Coturnix japonica: one gene and its partner. Each later gene encodes a partner of the first gene's protein in a complex. Links are inferred from orthologs where the notes say so. Each region holds a gene or a part of one and is shown in the gene's direction. Other genes may lie near its edges. The genes, in order: DNM1L and MIEF2.

The links.
Region 2: the proteins of DNM1L (region 1) and MIEF2 are in contact, whole or in part, in a cryo-EM structure (PDB 5WP9), measured with the Homo sapiens proteins. The link is inferred for Coturnix japonica from reciprocal best matches to the Homo sapiens genes DNM1L and MIEF2. Residues at the interface, in NP_036192.2 of Homo sapiens: Asp190, Met191, Ala192, Thr193, Ser194, Leu197, Lys198, Ile199, Arg201, Glu202, Gly223, Thr224, Asp225, Asp228, Arg233, Val234; in NP_631901.2 of Homo sapiens: Val213, Asp214, Thr215, Val216, Arg218, Arg226, Leu230, Arg235, Val245, Gly246, Tyr248.

Annotation. Positions count from the first base shown.
Region 1 is NC_029516.1:53,516,711-53,521,019, forward strand, and holds the start of DNM1L (dynamin-1-like protein), read left to right. Parts: upstream 1-1,331; 5' UTR 1,332-1,491; coding exon 1,492-1,593; intron 1,594-4,309. UniProt on the Homo sapiens protein: Functions in mitochondrial and peroxisomal division.
Region 2 is NC_029529.1:5,103,193-5,105,605, forward strand, and holds the end of MIEF2 (mitochondrial dynamics protein MID49), read left to right. Parts: coding exon 1-401; 3' UTR 402-1,635; downstream 1,636-2,413. UniProt on the Homo sapiens protein: Mitochondrial outer membrane protein involved in the regulation of mitochondrial organization.

The DNA of each region.
Region 1 (4,309 bases):
TTACCATACTTTTATAATTTCCCCAGGAATCCTGGTGCTTAACGTACTCAGAAATGACATCCTGAGGTAGATTTATATCAGGTCAGATTCAGTGCGGCAGTTCCTGTTTTCTTATGTTAATTAACCTTTAGTAAAAACCAGTCTGTCTCTTATCAGATCTTTGAGTTTCTTGCCCTGTACAACATAAGCCTATTAAGGAAATTAGATAATTAAAGCTCAGGATGGTCACTGCTTGCCAAAATGATGATTGCTTTGGTGCAGTTGCTCTGGATTGAGGTAAATGCTGGCTTTGGTAAGTTGGTAATAGACACAACATTTTATAGCAAAGGTATTTCCAGAACCCACTTTTTAGCCAGAAATAGACAATGTGGTAAGATTTTCTTCCTTGGGTTTCCTAATCTTATTTAGTCTTATTTAGTCCGCTCTTCTTGTTTCTCTTCTGTTCATTAATTCATTTCATCCATTTAAGTTGTGTTTCTCCATGTGGGTATAGTGTCCTTGATGGTATTTTTTGACAGTTCTGCTGGGAAAGCTGAGTTATCTCTACACATTTTGGCAAATGATATTTTCACTGTGTTCTTAATGAAATATATTACACTGATTAAATTCTAAGAATAGCCATATTGGGATGGACTAAAGGTCAAGCACTGAGCGCTTGTGCACGACAGTCACCCTGTTTCCAACCACTAGTAGCTTAGAAACATCCAGATCTAGGTTTAATTTCCACATCCTTATGTATTTATATGCAATACACTGTGTTGTATGAGTTGAGTTGGGTTGTTCAGGCCTAGAAAGGTTGCGGGGTGACCTCATTGCAGCCTTTCAATACCTAAGGGAACTTACTCCCAGGAGGGGAGTAAACTCTTCGAAAGGGCTGACTAATAGCAAGGAACACAGGGAAATGGTTTTAAAGTTAAAAAGAGGGAAGATTAGGATTGATGTTAGGACGGGAAGTCTCTTCACTAGGAAGAGTCGGTTTAAGGCCTGGAAACAAGGTGCCCAGGGAGGTTTGTGGAATGCCCCGTCCTTGGAAGGTGTTCAAGACCAGGGGTTGGACGGGCCCTGCAAACCTGAATCTAGTAAAATGTGTCATGTTTGGTGGCGCCCTAGCCAGGCCAGGGGGGAATTGGGAACCTACATGAATCCTTGAAAGTCCCTTCCAACCCGGGTCATTCTGTGATTCTGTGTTAATGATCCTAATAGCTCTGAGAGCAATTGGTTTCAGCACACCTAAGCGAATGGACGATCTCCACAGGCCTTGGGCCCAGTGCGGCCGGCCCCATTCCTCACTACATGTCCCGTGGATCCCCGCGGCGCTCAGCCCGCACTGCCCGCTGGGGGCCGCGCCGTGCGCGGGGGCCGGCTCCAATGGCGGCAGGCGGAGGGGGCGGCTGACGGGAGCCGCTGCCCGTCGCGCCCATTCATCGCCGACGTCTTCCCCGGCTTTCTCTGTTCCCTCAGCCCCTCCGGGCTGTGTCCGCCTCCGCCGCCATGGAGGCTCTGATCCCGGTGATCAACAAGCTGCAAGATGTCTTCAACACGGTGGGGGCCGACATCATCCAGCTGCCGCAGATCGTGGTGGTGGGCACGCAGGTGAGGCGGGGCGGGACGAGGCGGCGGGTACGACCGGGCCGCACCGCCCCGGGTTAATGTCGGCTCGTCCCCTGCTCCTCTGGGGCCGCTGAGCCGCGGTCTCCGTTTCCAAGGGCACGGGGGGACGAGGGCGGCCGGGACGCCCTTAGCTGTGCCCGCGGCCCCCCCCGTTGGCGCTGGGAGTGCCCGTGCCACCGCCCTCCTTCCCCCGCCGGTTCTAACGGCCGCGGCGCTCCCCGGGGCAACCCCCCGGCCTACGGGCCGCTGAGCTGAAGGGATGGAGAGCAGAGGGACGGCACCTGCGGGTGTCGGCTGTGCTGAGGGGTCGCTGAGCTGTTGTGCCGCCTTTAGGACCTCTTTGTTGGCAGCCAAAGCGGCCTGTCTTGGCGTTACAGTGTGTCCCAGCCTGGTAACGCTGAGGGGCTGAACGAGCAGCTCCAGACCCTTCTGATGTATCCAAACGGGGCTCCAGACCCTTCTGATATATCCAAACGGGACTTCAGATCCTTCTGGTGTATCCAAACGGGACTCCAAACCCTTCTGGAGGACCCAGCGTCCAAACGGGACGCTGTTCCTCAGCATAACTTCCAGTCCAGAACGGTGGCGGTCATAGGAGAAGTGAAAATGAAACATTAAACACAACCAAAACTTGGCTTTAGTACATCACCTTCTTTCTTTTTATTTATTGAATATATGCCGTTACTTGACAATAGTAGGCTGACATCAAGAGAATTGTGCTAGATGCTCTGCAGCTGGGTATCGTTACATGGCTTTGAAGGCACCGACTGCAAGCTTATAGCTGAAGCATGGCATGGCTTTCCTCAAAGCCAGTTGTGGTGTGGTTGTAGGGTAGGCAGCTCTTCCTTTGCTTAACCACCATCAGTCAGCTGGTTCAGAGACTCTGTGTCAGCTGCCTTATAAAAGAGATCCACAACACCGGCGCTGAGGAGGAGACTTTGTACTGGTCAGTTATATCAGGTCCTTGGTTTCTGCTGATCGCAGGAGCCCTTTGCTGTGTAGAAACTTCCAATCTCATTATATTAACAATATAAACTGATTTTGTTGTTGTCAATGCTGTTTTTTTATTTCTCTATCAGAAGGGTGTAAAGCAGAGGTGTGATGTTTTTATACTTGAAATTCATGGAAATATGCCTTTCAGCTTCATTCCAATGTGCTGAAGTCTTTTGTAACGACCTTATCTTAGTTAACTTAGTTAACTTAAAAGTACATGGAGTACATAGGACTATTTTCGCATACAGAGGCTACTTTGGAAGTCATGCCTCCTAGTTTATTGTATTGGCCTACAGTGTCAGAGGTGGATGTAGGTGCTTTGGCAGTAGAGGTTGAACCTTCCCGTCAATATTCTGTTCATTACATTATGTTGCGGTGTAACAGATGGCAGCAGAGGGGCAGGCTGACTAAGTGGTGTCTGATATGGAAGCGCATATGAAACAAATGTGGGGAACTGAATTCCTCCGCAGAAAAAATGGCACTCGTTGTCATTCTTTGATGCTTGTTGAACCTTTATGGAGCCCAAACATTGGATGTGAGTGCAGTGAGGCAGTGGGTGGTGCATTTCAGCTGCGGTGACAGCGATGTGAAGGGCAAGCCATGTTCCACACATCCATGCACAGCTGTCACATCATGAAATGAAGACCGTCTCAGTCCGCTCATCCACACAGATCAGCAGATTACAAGCAGAGAATTGTGTGCAGACCTAAATATCAATTTCATTGCATTGGAAATGATGGTGGCAATGTTGGAATATCACAAATTTAGTGCTGGGTGGGTCCCATGAGTTCTCACACAGGATCAGAACGAACATCATATGCAGGTTTATCAGGTCCTGCTGAACCAATATGAGATGACTGTTTCCTGTATTGAATCATTATCAGTGACAGGACACGGTGTCAACACTAGGAACCGAAGTTCCAATGGCTGTCCATGGAGTGGTGATACAAACTTCTTCAATGGGAATTTAACAGGGCGCAGCCCTCAGTGGTTAAAGTGATGCACGTTGTCTTTTGGGATGGGAAAAGGGTAATCCTGGATTTCCTGAGACCTGGACAAACCATGAATTCTGACTCATAACAACACTGACTAAGCTGAAGCTTCAAACTTCCGTAGTCAGGCCAGGAAAGAAGACAGTGGAAATGAGTAGTCTGCCCTTCTGTATTAATACCCCTTTGGTGTTAAGACCTGTGAGTAAGGTATAGTGGTACTGTATCTTTTAGGAGACCAGCTTGAATGCCTTTATTTACCTCAGGAAAATATGTAGCAAATTGGATGGGAAACTGTAGCCAAATTTTGTTCTTTTGTTTAAGTCTCAGCTCCTGAAAAATATAATTGTCTTCATGGACGCAGTGACTCTGTAGTTATTTTCTGCAGTTATTTCATACTTAAGATTGTATTCGTTTAGTCCTTTCAATGTAGTTTATGGCAGCCCAGGTTTCTGGAGATGTCTCACATATGTCCTTAGGGCTGACGGTTTTGCTGCTGAGAATTGGCTTCCATGTGTTTTTGAAACCTGCCTTTTAACAGCGTTGTCCCTTAAGATATTTTTGGTTAAGTGCTGTGTGACTCCAAGCTTTCCCCCATAGTTGACTGTAAAAGTCATCTCTGTACCCTGGTATGGAATCTGCTAAGAAAACTGCCGATGATAGGACTTGCAGGGCACCCTTACACGGCCAACTATGTATTGCTATTTTAGGGTTTC
Region 2 (2,413 bases), on another chromosome or scaffold:
TGGTGGAAAACCTCTGGCTCGAGAGCTTTGGCAGGGCGGAGGTCTTGAAGGTGAAGGAGCTGGATGCTGGTGATGCTGGTGCTCGGCAGCACTGCCTCCGTATCCTGAATGGGGTCTGCAGGATCCATCCTGCCCTGCACAAGCTGAGCGGCAGCCCCTTGGCACACGTCATCCTTCACCTGAGCACCACTGAGTCAGACTGGGCAGAGGAAAGCCTGGCCACCAGGTTCCAGCAAGTGCTCGAGGAGCTGGTGGGTTACCTGGAGAATGGGGTCCTGCCTTGCTACTTCAACCCCAAAGTCAACCTTTTCTGTGACCTGCTGGAAGAGGAAATAGAGGAGATGGGCTTCCTGCTCTATAGGGCTGTGTCTGAGCCAGGACTCCTGCTGACAGAGAAGTGACTGGTGCAGCGGGAGCTACTGAGCGTGGGGTGTTCCTCAGCTGTCTGGGCTGTGATGCTTCTAGTTGACTAGTCGGCAGGAGGCCAAGTTCTTGCACTTTATGAACAAAAGTATTTCCTTTCTGAATAAAACGTGCCTGAGAGTAATGGGTGATGGTGTAAGAAGCCATTTGCTGTGGGGCTCTGCCTTACCCACAGGGAATGCAGCCCTAAAGCAAAGTCCCATCTGCTGGGAACCAACATGGAACAAGTTTGGCTGCTGGATCTCAGCAAACTGCTCCTTCCCAGCCTGCCATCCCAACCTCTAGGCTCCCCCTGTGCTCCAAACAGAGACCTGAGCAGTTCAGAGCTTCCCCTGCCCCTTGTAGCACGCACGTCCCTTGATGCTGCTACAAACTTCATGGCTTATGATGTGCTGTGTGGGTCCTTCTGTGAGCACCGAGCTCAGTCATGCAGTGCCATGGGGTGAGGTGGGAACATTGTTCCATGCCAGGGAACAATGGATGCTGCAAGGTAATGCCATGGCAGGGTTACTCTTTGGAAATCATTTCAGGTACCAAATGACAGCCCGAGCTCAGCGCTGCCGGCTGCTCTGCCAGCATCAGCTCTGCCCCCAAGGAGGGTTCTCCATGGACATTCTCTGAGCTGCTGTGCTGCAGCATGGGCTGACAGCTACAGGAGCTGCAGCCTCCTGGTGGACACCAGTGCCCATCTAACAGGCCATGGTGTCCCCTCCCAGCCTGTCAAGTGACCTTTTCACGTATGTGTTGCTGCTGTTTTAATGTCCTGTTGCCCCGAAGCCTCATGGTGTGGGGCAGGAAAGGACTGGATTGATGCACAGAGCAGAGTACTTGCAAGAAGTCAAGAGGTGGTTTGTACTTCTTTTCATTAAGATCTATTTTGTTTGAGTATCTTTTTGTCGTTTTGGCTTTTTTTGCCTTTGAGTGGCTGCTGGTAGGTTTTGTTTCTGATTGTAATCCAAGTGTGAAGGAATACATTCTTGTATTTAATGGGAAGAGTGATGCTGTTTTTGCACACTGGTAGAGATGGTGAAATCCTGTGGGCTTTAGTGTGAGCATCTGTTGTGGTTTAGTTTTCTTTACAACCATCTTGTTTACGGGAGGATAAAAAAATCACTATGCCTTTCCTCTTAGTCTGAAGACGACTTGGTTTGTTCCTTCGAGCAACTTCCCAAGTGTTAGTGACAAGAATAAATCCTTGCTGTGTACACTGGTTCTCTCATCTCATATGTTTTGTCTCCTGTCCCGTAGTAAGGGCTGAAGCTGAGCTCCTGCTGTGGCAGCATTCCTGGAAGCAGTGCAGCTGTGGTACACCCTATGCAGAGCGTGGCAGCACTTGGACCCCATGGTGCACGGCTTTTCTCTTCCTCTTGCAGACCACCACATAAAGCACCCAGTGCTGCCTGGATGCTGAGCTCTTTGCTGTTTAGCCAGCAGCCCTAACTGCTCTGCTGCCTGAACGCTAACCGGGGTTAAACCAGTAGAGCTGGTAATGGCAAATGCCATCAGCAATGCTAAACCTGTGTGCTATGCAGACTGTTTCTGCTGCTGTTGCCATTTGGAGGCTGCCCAGCTCTAGCCATGCTTTAGCCAGCTGGCTGATTGCATTACGAAGCCGTCTAATCCTGTTATTTTAGACAGTAGGTTTGTATTTTTAGGTTACAGCTGTTAATAGTGGGAGAGAGGGGTACAGAGAAATGCAATGTAGGTTCTCCTGACTGTACTCCATAGGTCTGATAGCTACTTCTGTAGACTTGAAAGCTCTTCTTGCTTGTGCAGAGCTGAAAATGAACCTGTGCTGCTGTGGTCTCATCTGCTTTGAGCTACCCCCTAGGCAGTGCTTCAGCCTCCTGCCCACTCCAGTTGCTTCATGTATCACCTTAGTACTGAGCCATGGGAACTGCTCTCTGCTCAGCAGTGTCCTGAGCAACGCTGGAGGCCTTGGGGGAGCAGCTGAGTAGTGTCCTCTGCCAGAAGAGGACAAGGGAGTCTT